Linked DNA regions of Alligator mississippiensis. The protein of the gene in region 2 interacts with the protein of the main gene of each other region in a biochemical or structural test. Links are inferred from orthologs where the notes say so. Each region holds a gene or a part of one and is shown on either strand. Other genes may lie near its edges.

Region 1 (6,979 bases), on a different chromosome or scaffold from region 2:
CCTTTCCAGTCCTATGTTCTATAGTCTAGTACAGACCCTAATTGTAAGGCCATCACTGATCTTTGTGTAGTGAATTCAGGAATAACAGGGGGTATTGGATTCTATTCTGCCTCCTGCATCATTGAGATAATCATTAGCTAACTGCAGGATATCTGAGCTGAATATCTGCAATTACCATTGGTTTTGGCAGCTCAAAATGGGTCTGCATTTAGCTTCTTACTACTAACATTGATGTGCATAGCAAAATAAACAGACCCAGCTTTGAGTTCACAGCCCTGGCAGTTAGTGATGATTCAGTTTATGTACCAAAAAAAAAAAAAAAATAGATCTGAGAGTCTCTCAGCAAATAAATACACTGTCATGTTCACATTCTGACTCTGAGCACACTTGAGTGGAAATAAAACAGGAAAATTGTGTTAGCAAGACCAACCTAATAACAGGCAGAGTAAAGTTGGGAACAGTAAATGGATTCCTTGCTTTAAGTGATTCCATTCCCACTGCTCAGTGTGCAGTTCTGCAATGAGGTACCAATATTTTCATTCAATTCATGGTCCCCAAGAGAGATTGTGTGCGTCTCCCACTTGCTTAATGAGCTGCCATTCATTAGTGCCACATATTATTGCTGCCTCTGTTTGAGTCTGAGAAAAGAAGTCCTCATGATGGGGCATTAATACCATCAGAAAACTCTTTGGTCCTTGAACCCATTAAAAAATGCATCATGAAACAACACAGGACTGAGCTATGGCAAGGTATTGGGATGTATGTGCCTCTCTATCCCAGGAAGAAACTGCCTTATGCACTTCCTTAGCACAAAGAGGGACTGCCTGTCCAGTTGACTGTGTTCTCTGCCCTACTATGTCTTATATACCCAGCTAGGGCCATGATCCAGTCAACAGTCAGTGTGCTAAGCTGCACTGCAGAGAACACCTCCTAAAGGTGCCAAGTTCCAGATGCAACATTGCATATCAATTATTTAATGAGCCAATATGCATATATGCCAATTATTGCATATTGACATATGCCTCTGTTTAAAAGCTGTGCAGACTTCGTGCTGGCATAGCGACAGCAAGATAAAAGAAAAGAAAAAAGTTGCATATCTTTACACTCAGTCTCCTGTAATCAGAGTTAAGGTTGTTTGCCTAGCATCAGAGTTATGCTGTGCCTAGCATGTGTGGATTTCTTTAAATCATCGAAGCCAGAGAGAAGAAGGTGGCAAATTGTCAGGGCTTGCTTGGCCCAGAGGTACGGTTGGGTGGGCAGAGAGGCCAGATTTGCTCTGGAAGAACTTGTACAAGAAGATGTAACAAGACATGGGCAGGACCTAGCAGTGTGAGTCTGAAGAGAAGGCCTTTGGGCACAGCCCCAGAGAGCAGTACAAGTTTGAAACCAGTGGGGTACAAGAGATGTTTAGGTTTAAAGTGAATTTCCTTCTAGAAGCTATTAAAGTTAAAGTGCTTTGTCCTTTCTATAGCTCTGAAAACCATTTATAGATTTCAGTGACAGGGACAGAACTCTGCATTATGTTAAGATGACCCAAGGACAGATTTAGAGAGGCCATCACTCTGGGATGTTCTATAGGACTTCTCCATAAGGATGAGATGAGGCGTCTCTTTCTCCTTGCCATATCCCAGCTTTGTTCAAGCTCTGAGACACACCGTCCAGAAGGATTTGCTTATGGCCAGGGTGGATTGATTGTCACTCTGGAGACAGATTCCTGCATCCTATAGCAGTGAAGAGGACTAAAGAGACATCCCCTTTCTTCCACCTGCAAAATCTGCCTGCTTAGTTGACCCTCTTTTTTTTGTCCCACTCTCAGTCAGAATGAGAAACTGAGGCAACTCACTGCAGAAAAGAATCCAGACTCTCAGACAGTAATGTCCCAAAGTAATTTAGAATCCAGCAAACCTGGCCAAAGCTTTCGAGGAATTAGAGGGAAATGGGGAAGGGAGGGAGTTGATTTCTGAACCATATTTTTGGCTGATTTACAAGGCATTTGTTCTATGCCCTGGAAGTAGGGAGTGATGCATATTGACAGCTACCTGCCCTACCATAAGGCATTACTTCACGCGCACCAAATGGCTAATGTTTAACTAACAGGTTTGGTAAAACAAGCCTGTTAGAATCCTCTCCCCAAGGGAAGGTCTGAAAAACAGAGACAGCCTCTGGCCGCAAAACTGTGAACCTGCTCTTTCATTTCTTTCCATGCCTCCTGTTCCAGGTCACAGCCATCCCCTCATCTTCAGTTTTACATAATACTGCACCTTACTGCATTATGAAGCCCTTGTCCCCCTAGCACCCATCAAAACAACCATCTGGTTTCTGCTTTTGCCAGCTGTTTAATTTTCTTGTTATATGCCTTCCTTTATGATTATAAACCAGACCTATTTTGCTAGATGCATAAAGTAGTTTGACATTTATTTCAGGAATTATGCTACACATCAAACAAATATCATTAAAATACCATGCACATAGATTGTCATTCCTGAATTTCAATATGAAAACAGATCTCTCTTCTGCTATACAGGGTGAGGCTGACACAACCCTGCAGTAACATATAATAAAGGAGAGCAAAAATGCATAAATGCACAGAGGCAATTTATGCTGATGGCTAGAGCTAGTCCAGAATTCACAATAGTTGGCAAAGAACCATGATGCAATCCAATTCTAGCCTAAAAAGAAATCCTTAAACAATCAATTATATATCATCTTGGAGAAAAAACAGATTCAAATTTGATTATTTCTGATTGAAACACTTGTAAAATACCGTTTAGATACAGTCTCGAATACATCAACACGACTATAAACTTAAAAAATAAAAATGCTCAGTAATAGACTCTACCTTTTTAAGCAAGTGGCCGGCAATGCAGCAAGTCCCTTGCACATTTTGCTATTGGAGTTCTTGTCCCAATTCCAGAAAAGAGTACAAGAGGAGGCTGAGGCTGTGTCCGGGTTTTTACCTGCTGCGCTATTTGCTTAGAATTCTCAGTGCTTCTGTTTTCTAAGCCTGCTGGCTCCAGCATGGGTCTGTTTTATAGTCTAGACCAAAGAGTCCAGCATCATTTTTCCAGCCAGTCAGAAATCAGCACAGCAGCAGCAGCCACCCCCTCCTTGCCTACACAACAGGAAAAGAGGAAGAGACTGACGTATGAATCAGGACAAAAAAGATACAATGAAAAAGAAAACCTTACCAGAAATGACAGATCACAGTTGACATGCAGATTTGGAATCTCTGGATAGAGTGGAAAAAAAATATTGTGAGTTTCCTGCCTTGCATAAGATGGGCTGTTTCTTTCAATCTATTAGGGAAAGGGGAAGGGAGGATTGGGAAAAGGTGACCGAGAAAAGGGAGAGTAAATTTGTGAGTTACTTAATTTCATTTTCCCCTTACATTTAAGATAAATCTAAACAGTGGGCAACATCTTTGAGTTAGATGACTGAATAAATGTCTTCTGTCCCCAGAGAATCAGCATAGACAGTAACTTGCAAAAATTAGAGGCCCAGGGGAAATAAAGAAATACATTACATAGGCCACGGCTACATAGGTGGCAGTGCGCAGTAACCAGCATTACTATGCAATACCGTCCCTGCACTTTTAAACTTTTTTTTTTACACTATGGTGCAGTAGCAATGAGCTTGTTACTACTTTGCCATACCATTGCCATCATGGTTCATGCCTGGCAACACTATGGTGCAGTGGTAACGAGCTACTGTGCCATAGCTCGTTGCTACTGTGCCATAGCATCTCATGTAGACACCCCCATAGAGCAGTGGGAGCCAACCTTTTTGGCAGGCATGCCAAAAATTAGACCCTCATTGTTCCTGAGGCATTGGACTGGTGCTTTCCTTTACCTGATCTGCTGCTCTGCTTTCTGCTCCCTGCCCAGTGCTCCCTGAACAAGCTGCTGTTTGCTTCCCACTCTATCTGCCACTGTGCTGCCTGTTCCCTGCCTGCCAGCCTTCACATATCACACACACAGGCTGTTCGTATCACTTGTAGCACTCATACCACAAGTTGGCCACCCCTGCCCTAGAGAATATGAGGTGTTTCTTGAGTAAAATGGGATGAGAGTCTATGGGAAGACTGAAAAAACAAACCCCACGTGCCATGCCAGTACTGAGTACAGACCTTGCAAGGAAATGCTGCATCCATGAAGGTATATTCAAATGTATGTGCTCACACCTGAAAGCAAAAATGTTTGTGTATATTTATGCAAGAAAGGGAAGATAACGTCATGGCTACTGTTTCAAGTATGTGCAGGATTGAAATAATTCTTCATTTTCATGTTGAGTAGGCAGTATTCATAAATCACTGACAGGGTAACAAAGAAGCCAAGGCTATCTAAGGAAGGAAGCCTGTCTAAGCCCTTTTCTTTTAATACGAACAAAGGCATGAGATGAGATAGAGAAATATAATCATTAAAAAAATAATACTGAGCTCACATTAAGTGGTTTTGGGGGCAAAAATGGACTTGATCTGGACCAGTAGGTGAATCCTAGGATGGTATTATAGGACTGCAATGATTTAATTCAACAGGGGCCCATGAAAGAAATAAGTTTGAAGGAAATAGAATTTCTTAACACCAGTTAAGACCCTTTCAAGGGTGCTGAAACATGCACCAGTTCAACCTGGAGGCACTGTTTCTCCAAGCTGCTGTGCTACTGCTGCCTTCAGATGACATTGCCTTAGACACTTGTTTCTGGGAGAAGCTGAACCAAGAAGAACTATAGAGCACCCTTCTTGGATGGCAGCACCTGGGGCATGTGTCAGCAGCAGTAGCTCCAGCTCCAGCATGGGGCACATGGCAGTGGCAACTCTGGCTCTCACCCAGGGAACATGGCAGCAGTGGCAGCGGCTCTTCCAGCATGGGGCAGCAGTGGGCCAAACTCCAAAACACTGAATACAGGGAAGATGCATTTAGGTTACCATTGTGTTAGCTCTAGTAGCCACTTGTTAAAGACATTTAGGTGCCTGAAGATGCAGATAGGTGTCTGCTGGGATTTTCTGAAATGCCTGAGGTGTTGCAGCCATTTGAGTGGCACTGAGGAGACCTGAACAAAGCAGAATGGGAAAGGCAAGGAGAAAATGCCTAACTGGCTGAGCTGATGGGGCCTGGAGGACGGGATACTGCACCTTAAAGTAAAGTTGAAACTGAACTCAGCTCCTTTCTCTTCAGAGCAGGGTTATAGAAAAATAGTGGCATAGAGGTTCCCCTCCCCTGGCAGAGCCCTCCAGAACACTAGCCTGCTTATCTCCAGGGCCCACCTCGAGAATGAGCCTAGTTCAATACATTCTTCCTTTGGCATATTTGCTCACCCTGGCTTTGGTGTGAGCCATGGCTTAGCTGAGAGTATGCTCAAAAGCATACACTCAAGAAGAGGGCAGAGAACGCGCCTCAGGGATGTCCTCAAAGCCAACTTAAAAAAATGCAACATTAATATCAACTCAGGGGAGACTATCGCCCAGGACCGCCCCAAATGGAGAATGAGTCTACTCCAGGGATCTCAGTACTTTGAAACCTCATGACAACAACAGGAGATGGAAAAGCGGGAGTGGCAGAAACAGCGTGTGATGGACCAAATCAAAAATACAGCACCACCCACCCCACACGGAAACACCTGTCTGAGTTACAGTAGAGTCTGTCCATCCCAGATAGGCCTCATCAGCCATCTCTGGACACACAGATAAGACAATCATGGAAAACAATCATCCTCGGCTGTGAGGGACTGCCAAAGAAGAAGGCTGAGAGTGGGGGTTGATTATGTCTTGTGTAATGGCTGTCTACTGGGGTGTGCAAAGTGGGCCCTATTCGATTCGGATTCGGCCCAAATCAGGGACAGTGGTTAGATTGGTTGATTTGGGTCATTGTCCCTGATTCAATTCGGCCAAATCCAAATCTGAAGATTCGATGCTGATTCAGAGAATCAGTGATTTGGCCATAGACACAGCTTTAAAAGTTTTTTCTACTTATCTCAAGGTACCAGCGTGGCTTGTGAATGCTGCAGTGCTGAGGTGGATGGAGCATCCCACAGGAGCTTGTTGTGGGGGGCTCTCCACATGCTCGGCGGTGAACCTGGAAGAGGACTGGAATTACTTCCAGTCTACTTCTGGGTCCGCTGGGGAGCATGCTGGGGGCCCCCTCCTCCGTGTTCCCCTGGCTCAGTGATTGGCTGCAGGGGGACCCCGGGTGCCCCCCCAGACCCAGGAGGCACCAGTCACCGAGCTGGAGAGGCCCCCCGCACTCTCCCCAGCAGACCCAGAAGTGTACTGGAAGTGCTTCTGATCCACTTCTGGGTCTGCTGCCGTGCGTGCTGGGGAGCACCCCGCACTTCTGTGGGACGCTCCATGCACCCCAGCATCACGGTGTTCATGAGCTCCTGCTACCTAGAGGTGTGTAGAAAAAACATTTAAAACTGTCTCTATATCTGAATCTCCGAACCTCTCCGAATCAATTTGGAGGGTTCCAATTCAATTCAGAGAGATTAAAGGGTCCTCTGATTTGATTCAGATTCAGAGATTCAGCCACCGAACTGGGCTGAATCTCCACCGAATAGAATCAGGGACTGAAGCTTCACACAGCCCTACTGTTTACTCATAATTCCCATGAATCTCCTTGGGAACAGAAAGCACGCAATAAGGTAACCAGGGGGACATGTAATAGTCCCAAGAACTACGCCCGCTTGATAAGCTGTTTGGCATTATTTGGTTGTCTGAGATTAGTAGAGATAAAAATAAACAGATGTTGGACAAGCAGAGAGCTATGTGAGACCCATCTTGATTTCCTAAATCTCAGTTTCTGTTTAAACGTACCTCAGAGCAGCTTTTGCCCTTGGGTCAGTGTTTATGTTCTTGACCTTTAGTGGCTCCATCTTTGACTGTGGATGTCTAAGACTGAACAAATGACCTATCAATGTCACACTGGCACTGGTGATACCCTGACCTGGGGGAGATTTTCCAGGCTGTCTTGTTTGTGAGGTCTTG
Region 2 (6,874 bases):
ACTGCCTGTATGGAGCACTTTTTCAGGATTAAGAGCTCTAGGTGTTAAATCCAACAATTCATATACCATTTTCAGGTATGAAGCCCAACAATACACATACCCCACCTCACCACCCCCATTTTCAGTCATGTGTATGACTTAAAGATGCAAGTTTCCTTTTAATAAAATTTTATTTAAAAACAATTAAGGCATCTATGCATCAGGGACTTCTCTACTGATCTTGCTACACTGGCACGGACACCCAATATAGATGCATCACTCTTTATAAAAAAGAGTTGCACTACTGCAATTTTCTCAGTTTGCCCTAATGAAGCATACTAAAACAGAAGGTCTACGCTAGCATTGAAACAACAGTGCAAGAATCCCTAATACGGATAAACTCTGTATTTTCTTCCAATCTATAAAAATAACAGCCCCTTATTGGTTCTAGTTTTAAATCTGACCCCTTTAATTTGGCTTAAGCAGTGTCAAAATTTGGCCCAGATCATGCTATCAGTCACATGCACTTAATTTTACCAGCAGGCAAATCTTACAAATCACTGAGACTACTTGTATATTAAGTTAAATTCATCCATCATAGACTGTAGAATGGAGCTTAAATCTTTTAAACTATATATTTTGTACTTTTCAATTGTCCTTACTTTTGAGAGAACACAGTTATATCCTTCCACAAATTTTTTACTTCTCCAAAACCTTGGGAGAAACCCGCAAGCATTATTGAAGGAAAACCTAGGAAATGCAGAAACAACTGAGAACTACTGTACCACCAGTCAAATTCTTCTTGAATAAAATGTATAAAACATTTTAGTAAATATCCATTAAAGCACATGCAGGTTATGTTATTCTCTACTTCAAACCTGAAAATGCAAAATTAAACCAAAACCAAAGGGGGAGGCAAGGATTTCTTAGGGTGATATCTTTTATTGGACCAACTATATACATTATTGACTCACATTATTGTCTGGACCATTACGCATACAATGCCACTCTTACACTACCAAAACCAAAGTAATTGTAATGTTAATGTCAACCTCTGTCTCCTCCTGCTATTTCTCCACACCCATTAAAACCCCAATACCTTAATCTAAATCTAAGACCAATATGATTTAATAATATCATCTTATTAAAATAACACCAGGGGAAAGAATGGATTCATAAACAGTCATTTCAATTAATTTGCACTTTGACTCACCTTTAGCTCATTTGAAAGACAATTTACTCCCCAGCATCAACTACCACCTTTACGCATAGTACAAGACAGAATGTTTTGAATAAAATGGATAGTCCCCGTCTTGTGAATGTGAGAGGTGATTTCACAATACACCCCCTGCTCTCCCCAACACACATTCAGACACACAAACACCAGACAGTGGTGCAGACATTTTTCAGGGCCTGTTAGTCCAAGGCACAAAGCTCCCTTACCACAGTGGCTATGCGTTATTACAATAGTCTGGACATGGAGCCTTTTCTTTTCACTCAAGAGGCTTATTTGAGCACATAAGCCACATTTCTAAGAAAGAATTACTTGAAATGGCATTAGCTTCTGCCGAGATTAAAAAGAAAGGCCGCTGTATGCTGTAAATGACATTTCCTAACCGATGGGTGGATTCCAAAGGTATTAAAGAACCTGTCAGTCTCAGACATGCTTGTAGGCTACAAGTCAGTTTCAGGGTGCAGCTCAGGTTTTGCGTGTATGTATGTGTACACACACACTGTATATATATGTGTGTGTGTATAAATATGTGTATAAAGAGATACAGATATAGACCATAAACTAAGCCTATCCCATGTATCTCCGTTTACCTCGTTAAATAAAAATCATAGCTCCAACATGCAGCCAGGCAGCCCCCTTCGCCAGGGCTCCCAGAACAGTACAGACATTAACGCCTGTCACCATCAATCTGCAAAGCAGCTTCCCCCCTCCAGCCCTTTCACTTAGCTGCCGCCTTGCCATTGCTTCTTCATGCCTGTGGCAAACAAGCATCAGTCTCTTCCCTTATCCCTTTCCACCCCCTCAGCCCCTCTCTCCATTTTGGAAGGCCACAGCTAGCCTCCCCACCAACTGAAACCAGAGGTGATTATTGCCTCAGCCACATCTGTAGTCGCAGTGCTGAGGGAGACAATGCAACACCCACCCTTCACCCCCTGCACACATACCACCCTGTGTCTCTTCCCCACCCCCACCCCCACCCGCCTAGTTGCCCTGATCAGCATCACAACGCTGGTGGCAAGTGCCCATTAGAAGAAGGCAGGGAGCGTGGAACTGGAATGGTCTCCTCCATCCACCCACAGGGCTGTGAGGGAGCTGATTCCCCTCTAGTTTCCTCTCCAGCCCTGCAGCCAGACACAGCTGGAGCCAACCATGCATGCAAGAGCAGTGGCAGATGGGTGTGCATGCATGTACACAGCCGCCTGTGTGTGTGTGGGGGGGTATGCATGTGCATGCAAGATCTGGCAGATGGGTGCACATGCGTGTACACAGCTGCCCATGGGTGTGTGTATGCATGTGTGTAATACTGGCAGATGGGTGCGTGTACACAGCTGCCCGTGTATATCTGCATTGGCATATGTGTGTACATGTCTGCCTGTGTGTATGCATGTCATTCTGGCAGATGGGTGCACATGCATGTTTCTGCACAAGTGTGTCCACCTCCGTGCTGTGTTCCTGCACATGCATGTGCACTGCTGCGTGTGTGTGTGTAACTGGCAGACGAGTGCACAACTGCTCACGCGTATGGGCGTGTATGTGCACACGCATGTCCACAGCTGCGTGTGCAAGCGCGCGTGGCGGGGAGCGGCCGGGGCCGGGGCCGTGGCCGAGGCCGGGCGGGCTCCCCGGGGCGCCCCACACTCACCCAGCAGCAGCAGCTTGAGCTCCCGGCGCGCGTCGCGCTTGTCCCGCCGCAGCTGCCGCTCGATCTCGTCGTTGATCCGCCGGGCTTCCTTGGCTTCCTCGCTCAGGCAGCACGCCATGATGGACTCCAGAGTCATTCTTCCCGGCTGGGCTCCGGCGCAGCGCCCACCCCCGCCGCCCCCCGGAGCTCCCGGCCGCGCCGCGCAGCGCAGCGCCGCGCCGCGGGGGACACGCCCGGCCCGGCCCGCACCGCCCTGCACCGCACCGCCCGGCTGCAGGCGCAGGCACCGGCCCCTACCCCCACGCCTCTGCCGGAGCCAACTCCTCCTCCGCTCCCTGCCAGGCACCGAGGAAAGAGCCACCGGGCGGCTCCTCGCCGGCCCGCGCAACCCCCACCCCCGGCGCCGCTTGCCTCCTACTCCGCCTCCTCCTCCCCCGTCTCCCGCCCCAGCCCCCGGCTAATAGCCGCGGCTGCCGGCCCCGCTCTGCCCCGCGGCGGTGGAGAGCGCCAGGGCGGGCTGGGCTGGGCCGGGGGATCTTCTTGCCAATGGGCTTTACTTCCCGCGGCGGACGGAGCTGTCGCCCCTTGTCCCTGCCTCTCCCTTACTACAAGCGGAGGGGGAAGGCAGAGGCACAATATGTATCCAGCAGCCCGACTTGTCAATGGCTCGCCTCTCCGGGCGTGGTAAAGGCAGAAATATGGCGGCCCGTCTCCCTCGCTCTCTCCCCAGCCCACCTCACGGCTCCCTCCGCAAATGCAAACCTTGGGAACATCACCCCCCATCCCCCTGCCCGGGATGTGCACCCCCCCAAGAGCAAGGACACAGCGAGGAGCAAGTGTATTTTTCTCCCCCACCCCAAATGGCCGCAAGGAACATTGTCTTCCACATTTATCCTGTAGGGCAGGATTTTTTATTTTATTTTTTTAATCCCTCATGTTTTGGGGTTGGGGGTGTTTTTTCTTTGTTTTTCTTTTTCTCCCCCCCCCCCCCCCCACATCTGCTTTTGTCTGCCTCTGTGCAGCTTGTAACATGGCACTTTGTTATAGCCCTCCCTTCTCTTCTTGGACGAGATCGTTTGGTAGCATTGCAACAATTCACTGGAGGGGAAAAGGGAAGGCCAAAAAACACAACAAAAACAAACCAATCCTCTCTATGTCTTCAGATGGAAATTAAAAACATTGGGGATAAAAGTTTCCCGGGCACCAGTTGTCACTTGCCGTGCCAGTGAGATCTTCGGGGCTTAATATACACAAGAAGACAAGCAAAGACCTTTCACATCCGTCAGAGCAAAAAAGAAAAGCAGCAAGATACTACTCTTACTGATATGCTACCATTTACACAAATTGATATATGTTTTATCCCTGCAGTAGGGGGATAAAAGCTACCAGGTGTGTGATTTACTTCCCCAGGTCAACACTTCATGCGTTTATACTGTGTAGGATTACATTGCCACTCCAGAGCAATGCCATATGACTGAACATGTGTGAAAAAGATGTGGGGCATAGGTTTCATTAGTCTTTAAAAGTTTTCCACATTCTTCCCTTTCCCACCGCCATTTTAAATTAACCATGGCTGAGAAAATTTGAAGGGACACTAGTTTATAAAGGGGCTAGGCAGTTAAATGTATGCATAGCTCTCCCACCACCAATCTGATGCACATGATGCTCTTTCCAGCACCTGTTGACATAACTATTGAAAATGATGTTGTGCTTTAACAGATCACTGCTGCTACTGAAAGTATGGATTAAATGGTGCTTGCCACAAGTCATTAGACTAGCTGTGACCTTGCAGGTTAAAATGTATTGATCAATACAGCACCTTTTAGAGTGCGAAAATAATTCTTCTTACTTCATAATTTAAAAAATGTATTAATTTGCTCCAAAATGTATGTCATACTATTTAAAACCAGTTACTGCATCTTACTGGTTGTTTTTATAAGCATGCTTCTTTCTTTCTGAAATCAAGCATCATTAAACTCAAAAAGTGTAATTTTTTTTTTTTAGGTTAAATTCTATAATGCTATTTTTTCATTCAAATTTTTTGTAAAAGGCTCTATTTCTTTAAACTGACATGGATGTTGAGATTAAAAAAAAGATCTGTGTGTGTGATTTATGACCCTGATGTATGTATGTGTTAATAATTACTTTAGCAATAACATATAGCTTATAGACATTAGTTTGCAGTAAACATGGTATTTATATGACATTCATGTATGTCATTCTTATGTATGTCATTCATGACATTATACTTACACATACACATTTATAAAATTGGTAATCAGTAATCAAGTGAACGGTGATAACACAATCTTTTTCTTTCCAGAACAACTTCCTCAAAGGCTAAAAACTGCACTCTTGGTATAAAAGGCACAGAAGGCAATAGCACAGTGCAGCCAAGAAACATAAGCATGAATCCCAGGCCACTGAAAAAATTTGTGGCAGCTTTGGAAGACGAGTAGGTGCATGGTAACATGATGGGTGGATCTGCAACGTCACAAGTCAACTGATCGAAAGTCCTCTGCACAGTGAGGGCACAGCTACCACATGCAACTTCAGCCCTCAAAGACCCTGCAATGAAGTAATCTTCCCGCAGTGGAGGAAGTCTGACTCAGCACTCTGTAGACTTTGATAATCCCATTTTATATGTTCACTACAGGGGACTGTAAGAGTCTCTCCAGACTCTGAATACTACTTATATACCAAGAATGTGAAAATAACTTTTAATTTTGTGTTTTCAAAGTTTAGTGGCCCTGTACTGTACTTTATCTGCTTGCACCCCTCTCATTGATACCTGTGGATTATTAACATGTAATTTGAGGGCAGTATAAGGTTTTAAGAGTTTAGTCTTACCCTCCAGTATGTATCTTGGGTAAGAACTCATATACGGGTAGGTATGTGGTAACATGATGGGTGGATCTACAACATCACAGGTCAACTGATCAAAAGTCCTTGTTTATAAGAATATAAATATTCTTATAAATAGGTAGGAATATAAATATTTTCACACCACCTCAGAAAAAAGGTCCATGTATTTTTTCTCTTCCAGTAGCCATTAACCGATGGTTTAGCTGAATAATAATGGTCAGTTATGCAATAATACATCTATGGGAGAAGTTGCTTCTTAACTCTAATCAGGATAATGGTTGACTTTTGTCCAGTGGCTTTATATCTCTTATAGATTTCTTTATACTAGCCAATGTATCTGTGAACAATATACTTATTGCCCATCTGTGGATATGGAACAATTGAACTATTCCAAAATGTTGCAGATGGGAAACTGCTTACAATTGTTGTGAGGCATGGTGTGGACACACATAACAATTAAACCATTCCAAAGGGGGCTGGTTCACAATTTTGTCAAGTGCTGTGGTTCTGACGCCAGGGGCTGGGAGTGAGTGCCCAGGCCAGCATTCCTTGTGATGGACAGGTAAGGAGAAGCAGGTGCTTGCACCCGTGCTTTGGGGTTCCCAAAACATCCAGGAGTGGGTGGAGGCGTTTCCGTTTTCCTGCTTTTTCTTTTCCAAGGGTGGAGAGGGGTGTACACGCAGCCAGGATCACAGCTCAGGGTGTGGATCACTGCCCAGCACAGCAGGCAAATATCAGTCTGCTCTGTGAAGGGGAAGGGGCATGGGGATGGCAGATTGAGGCCCCCCCCCCCCCGGTGAGGCAGGGAGTGAGGAAGGGACAGGGGCAGGGGCTGGGGTGAATGGGGTCCCAGCCAAAGCAGGTCGTGGGAGGGTTGGAGCCCAGGCAGCCAGGTGGAGGGGGGCTGCTGCTGCCCACTGGGCTCTGTACCCTGCTGCTGCTGACACTGCTTTTGGGGCCCCGCAATGCCATGTGCATCCCACAGCTGGGCTGCACTGCACCCCCTGCCCGCCTGTAGATTTCTACACCTCTCTGCCTATCTGCCATCTGACACCACCAGGAAAGGAATCCTGCCTGATCTGCACAACAAAGAGCAACTCACAAAGACACTCTCATGGATCCAGAGGAACAGACTTACATCTTCAGCTTCCTCT
Region 3 (7,195 bases), on a different chromosome or scaffold from region 2:
TGGCAGGGGGCCTGCAGCTCTTACGGAGCCAGTTATCAAAGGGACAGGTTGAAAACATCTCCCGCCTAATACCTGCCCCTCCAAGCGATACAAAAACAGAGACGTACTCCTAGCACCTGGGCAGCACTGGCAGGCATGAAAGGCACCTAGCGCCAGCCTCTGACCTGCCAGCAGCCCAAGCAAGCCCCGGCCAGGCAGGTGAGCGCGGTGGGAGGGCAGGCACACAGCACACGGGGTCGGAGGAAGAGGAGGCATCCCCCCATCCCCGGGCCGGGGCTGGCAAAGCAAAACCTCCCCCAACCAAACAGCCGCATGTGCGCCCCCCCACCGCCCCAGTCACGGGCAGCCCCAGGGACACCCCCAGCATGCAACCGCACGACCCACGCCCGAGCCCCCGGCAGGGATCCGAGCTGAGCGCCCCGCGGCCCCGCTCACCGCGCCCCCACTCCGCCATGGCCGCGGCCCGTCTCCGTGGCCGGCCCCGCCCCGGCTGCTGCGGGCGGAGCCACCGCCGCTCCTTGCCCCGCCCCCGCGCCGCCTGGAGAGAGCCCGGGGCACAGGGGCCGGAGACACTGGCCTGCGGCCGGCTTCCTCCCTCCCTCCCTCCGAGCGGCAGCAGCCGGGGTCTCCAGTTGCAGCAAGGGCAGATTAAGCTGTTAGGGGGAAATAAACCCCGCTCACGCTAGGAAGGGAGCACAGTAAAGGAGCAGGTCGCCTGGCAAGGAAACGCCGTGTATCTGCGTCCAGGAAGGCAGGGTTCCTCAAGCGCTCCCGGGCAAACCTGCTCTTCTGGTGCCCGCCCCGGCGTCGGGGCTTCAAGCCCACTTGATGCAAACGGCAGCCGCTCTCTAGCTCGCTCCTGCGGCCACACGGCTGAGGCGGGGCGAAAGTCGGCGGCATCTGAACCGCTTGGGCCCGCACCTAGGACACCTGCTAAAGGATTTTGGAAACATCTGCAGCCTCTGGTGAGGTGGAGGATGTTTGCGGGCTGTAGGGCCAGTATGGTTCTGGGCTGACTCCGGGATTTGGACTTGATTTGACTGGGAACATGAAACATTTCTTTAAAAAAACAGGTCTTCCAGAGGTGGTGGCCTCTCCATCCTTGGACGTTTTTAGGACCCAGCTAGACAAAGCCTTGGCTGGGAAGATGTAGTTGGGGATGGTCCTGCTTTGAGCAGGGGTTGGACTAGATGACCTCCTGAGGTCCCTTCCAGCCCACATTTCCTAAGACACCACTCATAAAAGCCCCTCGCCTCTCTGGCAGGTTTCCTGGGACATCAGGGCTGCAGCATCCCTCCAGCACTGCCAGACACAAAGGGCACGCTTGTCCAGCCGCAGTTTGACTTCCTTTTTTCTCCCCTCTATAGCAGTGACTCTCAGGCGGGGCCATGGCACCCGAGATCCTTTTTAACCGTGCCACACAATACGATGCACAGGGTAGACCCAGCGACTTCAAAGAGGAATACATAGCAGCAAGAGCCATCACACCTGCTGTGAGAGGCAGGAATTCTTGTGGGCGATTCTTTTATCGGGCCATCTGTGCGCGGTTGGGATAGACTAGTGCTTCTCAACCTTTTTAGGTTTGAGGCACCCCTCCATAGTCTCAAGGCAGTCTCCATAGGGACTGGAATTAGAATTATTGGACTGGACAAATTCTTGGGGAAAAAGGGCATCAGTATCTATTGAGCACAGGAGTTAAGGGTCCAGCCTCTGAATTCAAAGTTCCTGGACCTTAAATGCTAGAGGTTGCAAGTGATGGAAGAAAGTGAATAAAAACCAACCCTGGTCTTGTCTTGTTTACTCTCCCTTTCAGTATCCATTTTCTGCCGCTGTGTGACACAGGCCTATTTGACACATAGGGTTAACGTGCACTTTACCACAAAGCAATAGTTACTCTCCCCGCATAAGCCGCGGAACAGGGTGGGGCACCCAGGCCATGGCCTGACCAACATTTAGCACGTTAACTTAACTAGCTATGCAGTTAAAAAAATAGCTATACAGTTTTAACCGGAATGGCAATTGCGCATTTGTGGGTTATATAAATTGATGTGCTACAAGTTGGTCAGGCTGTGGCCCAGGTGGCCCACCTCGTTCTGCAGGCTATGCCCCCTGTTATTAGAGGGGGCAATTGGGTATATGTCAGTTGATTTCAGGGGACAACTAAAGACAAAACAGGACTGGGAGTGAGGTCAGAGGTTCAAAATGAGTACACCAAGGAGGGGGACACTGAGCAGAGTACACTGGACAGTGCCCACTGAATAAGTCCAGGGAGCTAGTGGACACTGCCAAGTGAAACTTTGTCTGGAGACATGAATGGACCAGGCACAGGAAAATGGCCCTGCAGTCCCCGGGGGGCCCCCAGCCAGAGCCTCTGTGTGACAGGCCTATTTGACACATGTTGGGAACATGGCCCTTATGCCCACAGATCAACAATTACCTCCCCTTAATAATAGAGGGAGCTATTGGGTATGCATCAGCTGAATTCATGGGACAAAAAAAAATACAAAACAAGGACAGGAGTGAAGGTCACAGGTTCAAAACGAGTGCACCAAGGGGGACAGGCTGAGCAGAGTATGCGGGACAGTGCCCACTGGCCCTCAAGTCCAAGGAGGCAGTGGACACTGCCCAGTGAAACTCTGCCCAGAGACATGAACAGACCAGGGACAGGAAAGTGGCCCCACAGTCCCCAGGGGCTGCCCAGCCAGAGTCTCTGTGTGATACAGGCCTATTTAACACCTATTGGGGACATGGGCCTTAGGTTCACATGTGTCAACTGATTACTTGAGAAAACAAAAGAAGCAGGGACAGAGTAAAGGTCATAGGTTCAAAACAAATGCACCAAGGGTAGACATCATGCAGAGCACACGGGACAGTGCCCACTGGTCCCCAGTCAAGTCCAAGGAGCCAGTGAACACCTCCCAGTGAAACTCTGCCTGGAGATGTGGATGGTCTCCCTGGCCAGAGCCTCTGTGTGATAAAGGATCCCCGGCCAAGATGGACCTATAGTCTGATACAGTCAATGGCAATTCTTATGTTCTTACAGGCTGGAGGCAGCCCATCAGGAAAGGCCAGCTCTTATTTTTCACTCATGTTTAGACTACAGAAAAAAAGTAGAGCAATTCTGTTGCAAAGAACTTATGCAGGCCATTCCAGGTCTGAATGCTTTTAACACCATGGATTCCTTTCCTGACATCTCTGGGTTTATTTTGTGAATCCCATTAGCACACTCAACAGGGACAACATTGTGTGGCACCCCTGAAAGGACCTCAAGGCATCCCTGGGTGCCATGGCATCTTGGTTGAAAATCATGGGTGTAAACACCCAAACTTCTGGCTATCCTAGGACCCTATCTCAGGCCTGTGGCCTTGCTGCGTTCTTTGCAGCAGCAGAACGGCTTGATTCTTTTTTTCTGTAGCAGAAACACGAGTGATAATGAAAAGCTGGCATTTTCCAAGGGTTGCCTTGAGTCTCATGAGGGTGCCTTGAGTCTGAAACAAGGTTGAGAACCACTATTGTAGGGATTCCTAAAAAATGAGGGTTGGAAAGGACCTCAAGAGGTCATTTAGTTCAGTGGTTCTCAACTTTTTTTTGTACCAGGACCCATTTGTAAACATTGATGGCCAGTCTGGATTCACTCCGGACCCGCTGCCCCCAGGCCCTAGCCCCTCAGAGTGTGAGGCAGTGGAGGCCCCAAGCAGCCCCTGGCAGGCTGGAGCTCTGCCAGCCTGCAAGGGAAAAACCCTGGTTTCCCATGTTTTTTTCCTATAAGGAAGAATCCATTTTTAAAGTTTCTTGATCCATTTTCCAAGTTGGTTTGTGCCCCTTTCATATATTCTTGTGACCCACGGGTTGAGGAATGCTGATCTAGTCCAGCCCCCTGCTCAGACCAGGACCAGCCCCAACTACATCATCCCAGCAAGTCTTTGTCCAGCTGAGTTTTAAAAACCTCCAAGGATGAAGAGTCTGCCACCTCTCTGGGTGACCTGTTCCAGTGTTTTATTATCCTCCTCAGGAGAAAGCTTTTCCTAATATCAAACCTGAACTTCCCTTGCTGCAACTTGAGCACATTGCTCCTTGTCCTGTCATCTGCCACCACTGAGACCAGCCCTCCCCTGGCAGGCAGCAGGATCCGCCCCTTGCATTTTGCACAGTGCTCATGTTTTTTTTATATTCCTCTTGCTCATAGTGCGGGGCGGGAAACAGCCTCAACCCCTGACAAGGCTCCTGATTGCTTGTATGGTTGGCAGGCTGGTGGGTGATCTCTGCCCTGTCCCACAACCCCAAGCCTCCAGGTAAAGCAGCTCTTCCCTTTGCCTGGGTCTCCACCCAGCTTCCAGCCACCCCTCCCTGCCTCCTCTGGCTGAGAGCTGGGGAGGGCTAGGGGCAGCAGCAGTGTCCAGGAAATGAAGCAGGAAACCTGAGCCAGCGCAGCTAAAGAGAAGGTAACTCGCTCATCTTTTCTCCCTCGGATGGCTCATGGCAGTCAGACATCTCTGTCCCCTTGGCCCCTTAAAATCCCAGCAGAGGTGGCCTTAAAATCCAGCAGTTTGTTGCAGCCTCTGCCACACTTCCATGTAGATTCTCTCTGCAGGGTCCCTGCTTGCCTGAAATCGTCTCCATTTTGTCCCTTTTTTCAAGCGATCAGCAAGGACTTGCTTCACAGGAAAATAGAAAGCCACATCTCTATAATTATTCACTAATGCTGTGATCCCACAAAGGCTTCCGCAGAGGAGCTTTGCCACCAGGAGTATTTTCAGTTCCTCTTAATGGGATTGCTCCCAGATGTAAAGCTAAGCACATGAGTGAATCTCAGTAGGATGCTGGTCAAAAGGAGGAGCAGGAAACCAAGCCTCCTCCTGTTTTCTTAGGGGACTAAAGGTGACAAATAGGTCTGTTTTCTTAGGGGTTTGAACCCTGAGGAAAGAATGGCAATAAAGAGGAGGAGGGGACCTTAAACAAGCAGAATAAAAATTGCAAAGATTGAGGTCAGTGGTTATTATAGTCCATCTCCTGCATTGTTATGTGATGCTGGACTGGGCAACATGCTGGAGAGTACTGTGTTAGGGATAAATCCTGCACTGGTCCTAAAGGAAGGAGCTGTCTGTTCCATCTTTAATGTCTATGCCGCTATGAAATCTCTCTTAGTTCATTGTGTGCATATGTGGACGTTGTATTCCTGTTTTTCTTCCCAAATAATTCTATATGGAGCAATGAGATGTCAGAGTGGGCGCATCTATAGGTGCACTTTAATGTGTAGTAGCCTATTTTACTGCGTATTAAAGCATCTCATAAAAACCATGCTAATATGCGAATGCGTTGTAAAAATAGGCTAGTGTGCTTTAAGCTTCGCTAAAAAAGCATGCACTTTCACTACTCCATATTAGGGTAGCCTAATGCTCATTTATTTAGGATCTCAAATTCAAGGTACCAAATTTAATGTGCGTCAGGAAAAGTGCATTAATGGACGTGTAGACATACTCAGTGTGCATTAAACTGACACTCTGACTTTAACTGTGATAACTTTGTAGCGATGGCACAAACCATATGGCAGAGGTTCTCAAACTGTCGTCTGCGGACCACCACTGGTCTGCAAGCTCCATTCAGGTGGTCCACAGATAGGTTGCAGAACAATCAAAAATATCTGTAGTTGGCCCTGCATTTGATTTATTTTTTCTGACGATGGAGATTAAGTGGTCCGCTGAGACCCTCAGCAATTTTCAAGTGGTCTGCGAAAAAAAAAGTTTGAGAACCGCTGCTTTGTGGTGTCTTAACCCGTGTCTACATTGCGCGTTGTGGCAATGTAGACACATTTGAGTTGGTTTTAATCTAGCTAGCTTGGAGAATGAGAGCAGTGAAGTCACTGGCACAGGTGTCAACCACTGATTACCCAAGGCTCTGGGTGGGTTTATATGGACCAAAATGACACTTGCGCTCTTGCAACATTGCTGCTGTCAGTACCTATGCTATCTAGATCAAAGCCAGTCTGGGTATTTCTGTGCATGTTGCAGTCAGTCATGACTTTCTGTGGCAGTGTAGATATAGATGTAGATGTTTGATTCTGTAGTAAGCAGCTCCCTTTGGAGTCTAGGATTGGGGCTTTGTGTCATTTTACACTACCCGTCTTCAGTACTATTGCAAAATTTGTCACACAGCTATAGAATCTTAAATCTTTGTGCTTTCACAAGTGTGTGGAATCATACTGTGATTTATGATGTGACCCCTTATTATTATTTAAAGTCACAGTTTCAGCACTGTAAGCCTATGTGGTGCTTTATAGACACTTTAAACTCATGCCTAGCCTTTAAACATAAATGTGTGTCTAGTGGTTTATAACAGATCACTTGGCTTTTGAGATGGTGTAAACCTATTTCCTCCTGTATCATGAAGACACACACTTGTGTAGTCTGTTCAGCATGTCCTCCAACTTCCCTAATTACATAGCCCTTTGCAGGCCCCAAATGCACCAGGCTGGGTTTCTTTTTGAAGAAACTGCTGAGGAACTCTTTCATGCCACCTTTAAAAGACTGCTCCACCTTAACCCAGTCGGGATGGAGCTTGTCTGTCTATGTTGCTCTCTTGTGAGCCCCTGTTATTCCCCAGGGATGTTTCTGTGTGTCTGTGTGTGTTGGGGGGGGGGGTGATTTCCTCTGTGCACTATGAGAAATCAGGACAGTCGGTGGTGGAGGAGGAGAAGGAGGGCTATTTCAGGGAGCTGCAGTTATCTGTTCTGTGTTAATCCTCAGGCTGGGGGTGAGGGAGGTTTCCTAAGTGATTTAGTGGGAGGGCATATATTAAACACTGAAAGGCAGAGAGAAGGAAGAGGATTAAAGGGAGGGGGAGAGGGAGAGAAAGAGGAAGCTTGTGGCTGGTTTTACTGGGGATGTTCATCTGCTTTGCTTTTTAGGTATAACAGAGTAAGCAATCGCACTTGTTTTTTTCTCCCCCCCAGCTGTCTGTGTGGCAGGGTCCCCCTGCATCTGTAATTATCCAGCAACATAGCAAAGCCCCTCCCCATCTCGCCTCACATCTGTATCTAAGCTGCTGGAGCAATGGAGCTCAGGACTATGGTAGCGACTGTGGAAAGCAGGGAGCAAGACACAGTCCTCAAGGTGCTGCAGATCTACAATCAGGAGGTGAGTGAGTATGGCAAGCTGCTGCTTGATGTTGCCTTTCCCTATTTATAAGCAGGTTGGTA
Region 4 (7,151 bases), on a different chromosome or scaffold from region 2:
CAGTCCTCACTGGGAGCCCCACATCTTGGTTTAGGGCCCCCATCCTCACACACCAGCTAAGCCCCCACTTCTCCCTCCATGCAGCCCTAACCTTCACTGTGCCTTCAGCCCAGTGCCCACAGCCATGTAAAGGCCAAACCACTTCCCCACCTGCAAAGGCCGAGCTCCACTGCACCCTGCCCCAGTGCCCTCTGTCCCCTAAGCCTAGACGCCCCCTGTGCAACGCCCCCATCAGGGCTGGCAAAGCCGACCCTGATCCTGCAATGATGGGGGGAGGGAGCAGTGTGGAAGGATCAGGTGTGTGAATCTACGGGGGGAAGAGACAACTCAGGGCAGGGGTTCGGCAGACCTGGACCTAGGAGACATCCTGTTCTGGGACATGGGGGGGTCAACACACCCAGCCTGAGTACCGAGACAGTGGGATTGTGAGGTGGGGGCACTCCAAACAAGTGATTACTTCCAGTAGGGAAAGATCTGAGGGAAAACTCCCCAGGCCAGCCTCCCTGCTGTGCTGACCAGGGGGCAGCTGGAGGCAGCAAGGCTGCCATCTCCCTCTGTGGAGCCTGGGGTCTATCCCCACCGGCAGTGTGGGCAGAGGGTATCGCACATGCATTTGGATGGACTACACTCATACCAAAATCACCCAGGGTGGTGTGACCTCTCAGCACCCCCTGGCCTGGTGCTGGCTTCCTGCTGTCTCCCACAAGTCATCACTAACCTAGCGTGCCCATGTGGTGGGGCCTGGGCTTCCTTCAACACCATCGTGCTATGGGCCCAGGGGGCACTTGGGACCTGGGGCCAACAAGGGGCCTGAGCTCTGAGATCCCCTCTCCCAGGGCCTGGCAATGCCTGTGGCTGTCAGGGGCAGCGTGGGGCAGAGATGCTTTTTAACAGGGATACTGGGGAAGGGCAGAGACTGGCAGGACCTGAATGTAAACTGTCTCCATAAAGCTGAGGGGTGGGTCTTGCTCGGGGGGTAGCGGGGTCTAGTCTAGCTAAACTCCCTGGAGACAAGAGCACTGAATCTGGATGACTTGGCCCCCTCCCTCCAAATTCTTACTCACCCCCGCAACCACCAATCCAGGCCTCCAGCTCCTTATCCATCCCTTCGTCCCACCCACCTGCACGCACTAGGCATAAGCCCATCTCAGACACACTCTGCACAGCTCTAGCCCCAATCTGTCCAGCATGGCTAGCACAGGAGGTATGTGTAGGGGAGACAGATGAGGGGCGGGGGGCAGGCAGCCCTAGAGCCCTTGGTTCAAGGCCTTTTCTCTCCTCCCTGCCAGATCCCTCACACCCCAGAACCAGCTGCATTTTCCTGGCTGGGCCATGACCACAGCAGCCTGGTGGTCCCATTGAAGTCCTCTGGGAGGAAGAAAGTGCCATGGGTGCTACATCTCCTGCCCTGGGCTGCACTACATGGACCCTTGACCATGTGCTTGATGGATGCACAGCACGGCAAGGCTGGGCCAGGCAGGGGCTGAGTCCAGACCCTGCGAAGGGTGGGGGATCAGAAGGTGTGAGAACATGCCAGGGTCTGTGTACCCCTAGGTCAAGACAGCGTCCCCTGTGCCTGCCCGCAGGTGCATGCTTGACAATCTCTAACGAACATCCCTGACTGTTACAAGGTGCCCGGGTTCACTAGTCCTGGATGCTAGGGCTGCTTCGGCAAGGAGAGCACAGCCCCGGTTGCTGCACGCTGACAGACATGAAGGGGAGGGGAACCTAGATTTGGGGTCTGAGGGGTGGGTTTGAAAGAAGTGGAGGGGGTATAATCACCACCCTCTCTCCCCTCTCCCTGGGTGGGGGATAAAGGAGGCAGGCACACAGAGGGACGCAGGAAAACAGAAGGACCTGGGCTTGGCGTGAGGGAGAAGAATCAGGAAGCAACAGCTTCGACATGACAGAAAGCACCAGCTTCCCCCCCACCCCCACTGCCCCGCCATGCCCAGTCACACACACTGCTCCCCTCCTAAAGCAATGCCACCCAGACCCCTCTGCCCACACTGGGCTGGCAGCTCTGCCTCCAGGGAGGCCCTGGGGGTGGGCATTTTGGAGGGGGAGTTGGAGGGCAAGGTGGTGGGTCCTTTGCAATACCCCACCGAACACTGACCTCCTCCCGGGGGAGGAGGGGATGTGGCTGGGCCTAGGTATCCAGCTGCCCCACACCTGCCTGGGCTCACCTGGGCTCAGGTAGGAGAATCTTCTTGCTGGCTCTGGCTGCCGGAGTGGACTTGCTCTTCTCCATGGCCATCAAGTAGCTCACATCGGCTAAGACAGCTTCCAGGTCGGCCATCTTGCCAGAAAAATTTTTTCCCTTCTCTTTCTTATTTAGAAAAAAAAAGCTTATTTACTGTATTTTATTCCCCCAGGCTTCAGCGGCAGAGGCAGCCCCCCGCTGCCCCCTTGATGCCAGCTGTGAAGGGGGAGGGAGGGCTTGGGGCAGGGGGAGGGAAGAAAAAGGGGGTACGTTCCCCCCAAGCCCGTTCACCAAGAGATCCACATGATGCCTGTGGAGAAAAGCAGCAAGCGAGCTCTTTCCCGTCTTCCTTATTTCTGATCAGCCCCAGCTCCTCTGCTGTTCACCGCCTCTTCCTCTCTAGGGCTGTGTGTGTGAGTGTGTATGCGCGCGTGTGTGTGTGCACACAAGGGAGGCGGATCTCCAGTGCCCTGAGACTGGGGTTTGGCCGGCTGTCTTCCCCTCGTTCTTGCTGACAACTGCTTCTGTTTTTCAGTGGAGTGTGTGCGGGTGTGAACTCGGGGGAAGCAGAGTGTGAAGGCTGAGTGTGTGTGGTGGGGAGAGGAAGGGGGGGGCCTGGGCCCGGAGATTAAAAGATGTGTTTGAGTCAGTGCAAGCGGGGGGAAATAAGAAGTTCCAAGGAATCTGTAGGGGCATTAAAAAAAGAAAAGGGGGAGAGAGCAAGGCGCTGAGGATAGGCTCCTGCACTCACACTCTTCCTCCTTGGCTGGCTGCAGGCTTGTGTGTTTCTCATGCAGACTCTTCCACACACCCCCCCCCCGCTCCCTGGCTGCAGCTTAAAGTCACAGTGCCTTGAAAACCTGGAAGTGAAGCTTTTTGGGAGGACAGAGAGCTTGAACGCTGCCCTCTGGAGGTCTCAGCTGATGTGTTCGTCCTTCTCTCCTGCACACACAAGGCCAGGTTCTCCTGTTCCTTTCCTCCGCCACACGCGCGCACACACACACACACACACACACGCGCGCGCTGTTGCTTGAAGTCTCACACATCCCCCCCCAAAATGTTGCTTAAAGCCTCTGACGATGGCGGTGCCAGCACAACAGCTGGCTGCATGTGTCACGTGTGGCCTGGTGGGCACCACTTACCTGGTTGCGTGAGTGCATCAGGTACACAAGTGCAGCATGTGGAGGGCACAGTAACAACTGCAGGTCCTCCCAGGGGCAATTGCTTTTGAAAGAGGAGCCACATGAAAACCTACCAAGCTGCAACCTGTGATCTCCTCTCTGCCATGCTGCCAGGACAGTGGAGGACTGGGATGGGGGGCAGGTCTGCATCTGAGCAGCGTGGGACCTGGTACACCCTGTGTCCCCCTTCCCTGAATATAGACTGGGAGCTGAGCCGAGATGCCTAGCTCAAACCATAAGTGTATAGGCCCGACGCAGGAATTCCTGGGCGAGGTTTGCTGGTCTGCACGATGCAGGAAGTCAGATTAGATTATTGCAGTGATCCTGCCTAACCTTCAAGTCTTTGCATCTCTAGCAAAGTCCTGCACCCCGCTGGAGTGCTCTAGTCCACAGGGATGAAACACATTCCTGGCCTGGTATGCACCTGAAACGAAAAGGCAGAGCCTGCCTCAGAACTACCAGTCTAAGGATGAGGGCCCTGCCAATCAGCTCCCCATGTGAAAGAAAAATCAGTTCTGGTCTTCCTATTGGCAAAGCATACCCGAGCTTTGTCTTTAAATGCATAGAGCACAGCTGGAGAGAGGAGTCCACCTATTGTTTGGACTCTGAGTATTCATACCAGCGTTTAGAGGCAAAAACAAGTAATTTCTGGGGCTGCTGTCCCGCTGCCCACCCCTACATATGCTACCGCTAGTGTTGTCCATTTGGAAAGGAAATCAAGTCAAATTCACTGCTGGGATAAAAAGCCCCACTCCCTCCCTTGCAAGAGGCTTAAAAATGGGAGTGAAACCAACCAGAATGATCCTATCATTGCCCAGACAAATTCCACAGGCAAGAGGCAAACAGCACACAAGCCATGAGAAGGATGGAAAATATTTCATTACTTAAGAGCAGTGATTCTCAACTAGGGTGCTGAGAGATCCTTTCAAGGGTGCTGGGGGTGCCACATACTGTTAGCGCTAGCAGGTATGTAAACACGATTCACAAGAAAAACCCAGAGATTTCAAATAGGAAGTCATAGTGTTAAAAATCTTTCTGCCCTGTTATGGCCTTTCTGAGTTCTTTGCAACAGAAGAATTGCCCTGTTATTTTTCTGTAGTAAAAATGAAGAGGTGGCATTTTCCAAGGGGTGCCTTGTGCTTAGTCAGGGGTGCCTCAGGGCTCTGAGTCTAAAAAGGTTGAGAACTACTGGCTTAGGGACAAGGATTTTTGTGGATGATATTTTTTACTGGACATCTTTCGTAAGCTTGTCTAAGTCTATCCCAACTATACAGTTGGTCCAATAAAAGATATCGCCCACAAAAATCCTTGCCTCTCGCATATTTCCTGGACAATCATGGCTACTACATCACTCCAACACTATTAAATGATGGAGGAAAGTGAACATTGCCATCTTATTGCTTACTATTTTTCTGCCAAAATGGTGCCGCTTCCATCTTCCAGGACCGTCAGCCACAAGGCTTCAAAATTCACAAGCTGGGCTGAGACAAAGTCCTGAGGCCATCTCAAAAACCATGGGTATTTAAAAAACAACTGGTTTATTTGCTTTCTGGTTTCCAAGCCTTTGCAGGCTTTCTTCTAGCCCACAAGGACGAGAAACTTACCTTTTTGTTAAAGTGAAAGCAGGGAATCTCCTACTGAATCACGACTGGGACCAGGGGCTCCCACGTATAGCACCCAACACTGTAAGGCTTGCAGAGTTGGCAATATTGACATATTTAACTTCACTGGTGCGATGTCCATGGGACTACCTAATCGCTGGAAGTTAAGCACGTGCCTAACTGGTTGCAGGAGGGATTAACCCTTTAGTGGGCCCTAGGCAAACAAATTCGTGGTCCCCTCCCTACTTAATACTGTATATTTATATTATAATTATTGAGTGAAAAAAGTAACATGTCAAATAAGCACAACCGGGCCACTTCTTCACTTAAGGCCCTAAGCATGTGCCTAGTTTGCCTATGTATTAATCCGGCCTTGGGGACATGTTTGCTAAGACATGCTCATGTGGCACATTATCCTTACAAGAATAAGCACTGTTGTCTTATCCTCAGGTCTGTACCTTGACCAAGGTCCCAGAGAAGCAGACCTGGGACATGGGTCTAATCAGAAAGGGTGGTTTGTTAATAGAAAACTGGCTTTTTAACCAAAGGCGGCTCTTCAAGGAGAACATCCGCTTCCCTTAGAAGATGGAGATTTTCCTCTTCAAATCCCAAACATCTGAAAACAAACAAAGCAGGGTTTGGGACTGGTCCAGCATTTGGTTTCCTCATGCCTACCTCCCATGATGTACTACAGCCAAAATATCCGGTGATACCCTGCCACCCCCTTCCAAAAGCAGAGGGGACTGTGGGAGATGTAGTCTGGCTGGGACACCCGGCTCAGAGAAGAGAATGGGCATGTGAGACCTCTCTGCTCCAATTCCTGCAGAAGCCAAGGCAGCATTTACAACTGGATGCTTCCTAAGAGTTAAAAAAACCCAAAACACTTTTTCCCTTTTTCTGACTGGCTCTGGCTCCTTGCTTTATGGGTTTTATTTAGGACCTTGGGAAAATTAACAATGGCCGAGAGCACAGAGGTGGCTGGCTGAGAGGGCAGAGGTATATTTCCTCCCTCCTCCAGCTGTGAATTTAAACCCAGCTGAGTATTGTCCAGCCCATTTGGATGTGTTCCCTAAGCCCTGTCACATAGGTGGCAGTGAGGACACATGGAGGTGTTCAGCCCACAATGTACTATGGCCCTTCAAGGTAGGGAGTGAACCCAGCTCTCTCAGAGCCGCAGCAGTTGCCTCCTGGCCCCTGCTGGGCCATCAGCTCCCATATCCCTGTGGTAAGAGAGGAGATGAGACTTGGGCACGTGTAGAGGCAGAAGTGCAGGTCCCTCCTGCTGGCGCTGACTGCTGCCAATCAAGAACCTCCAGAAAGGAGAAGAATATTAAGAAGTCTTAAAGGAAAAGCATTGCCAGAAGGGTGGCCTTGTTGGTATGTACTGTTCTGGGACTCAGGGGACCAAAGTTCAAGTCTCAGCACTGCCACTGACTCTCTAGGTGACTGTAGGCAAGTCACTTCATTTCACTGTGGCCCAAGAATACTCCTCCTTCCTTTCTGTTTAGACTGTGGGCTCCTTGGGGCAGGGCTCACCTTACATGAGGTCGTCCGTCCTGCACCCAATACAACATGGCCCTGATCTTGAAGTAGGGTAGTAGTGATGGAAGCATTACCGGAATACTACTCATAAAGCACGGCTCCAAAGAGTGCCAGCCAGAGTGTGCAGATAACTTCTGAGTTAACAAGATTTAAGCCTTAGGAAACAATTAAAAAGATAACACCTACAGCTCTCGGAAGTAAAAAAACCAACCCCCCCCTTTTTTTTTTTTAAATCTGTCTGGTGATACTGATCAAGACAAAGAATCAAGTGAGGTGGAATTAGGCAGGCTGGATCCTTTCCAGTGATGCAGTGCAAGTAGCAAGCTACTCCCAGCTGGGCAAACACAAGACCAAGCACGATGTTCCATGAAAAGCATTGTTTTCAGGTTAACTGGTGAAAGCTTCTCCTCCTTTCCATGCTTATATCCTAGACACTGTGGTTCTGACAACATGAGGACAATGCATGTGCAGGCCTCTAGCCCCCCAGTATAGAGGAATGAAGGGGAAAATCCACCTTCCTAGGAAAAATGATGAAAAGTCAATTGGATTCTTTCTGATTATCCAGCGTTTCATTCATGGAAGGTGGGACTGGTAAGAGCCTCTCTGGGTTTGCTTTTGATATAG

Evidence for each region.
Region 1: the proteins of guanine nucleotide-binding protein G(q) subunit alpha (region 2) and RGS4 form a complex in vitro, tested with the Homo sapiens proteins (3 studies listed by BioGRID). The link is inferred for Alligator mississippiensis from reciprocal best matches to the Homo sapiens genes GNAQ and RGS4.
Region 3: the proteins of guanine nucleotide-binding protein G(q) subunit alpha (region 2) and RIC8A form a complex in vitro, tested with the Homo sapiens proteins (2 studies listed by BioGRID). The link is inferred for Alligator mississippiensis from reciprocal best matches to the Homo sapiens genes GNAQ and RIC8A.
Region 4: the proteins of guanine nucleotide-binding protein G(q) subunit alpha (region 2) and GRK2 form a complex in vitro, tested with the Homo sapiens proteins (3 studies listed by BioGRID). The link is inferred for Alligator mississippiensis from reciprocal best matches to the Homo sapiens genes GNAQ and GRK2.

What each region holds. Positions count from the first base shown.
Region 1 is NC_081828.1:40,943,475-40,950,453, forward strand, and holds the start of RGS4 (regulator of G-protein signaling 4), read right to left. Parts: upstream 3,008-6,979; 5' UTR 2,884-3,007; coding exon 2,840-2,883; intron 1-2,839. UniProt on the Homo sapiens protein: Inhibits signal transduction by increasing the GTPase activity of G protein alpha subunits thereby driving them into their inactive GDP-bound form. Activity on G(z)-alpha is inhibited by phosphorylation of the G-protein.
Region 2 is NC_081826.1:199,600,270-199,607,143, forward strand, and holds the start of guanine nucleotide-binding protein G(q) subunit alpha, read right to left. Parts: upstream 3,009-6,874; 5' UTR 2,992-3,008; coding exon 2,856-2,991; intron 1-2,855.
Region 3 is NC_081825.1:179,403,611-179,410,805, forward strand, and holds the start of RIC8A (synembryn-A), read left to right. Parts: upstream 1-4,174; 5' UTR 4,175-4,442; intron 4,443-6,666; exon of another isoform or gene 6,667-6,750; intron 6,751-6,949; 5' UTR 6,950-7,049; coding exon 7,050-7,133; intron 7,134-7,195. Other genes in the region: BET1L (BET1-like protein), read right to left, coding at 108-255.
Region 4 is NC_081825.1:176,049,689-176,056,839, reverse strand, and holds the start of GRK2 (beta-adrenergic receptor kinase 1), read right to left. Parts: upstream 3,022-7,151; 5' UTR 2,300-3,021; coding exon 2,187-2,299; intron 1-2,186. UniProt on the Homo sapiens protein: Specifically phosphorylates the agonist-occupied form of the beta-adrenergic and closely related receptors, probably inducing a desensitization of them. Key regulator of LPAR1 signaling.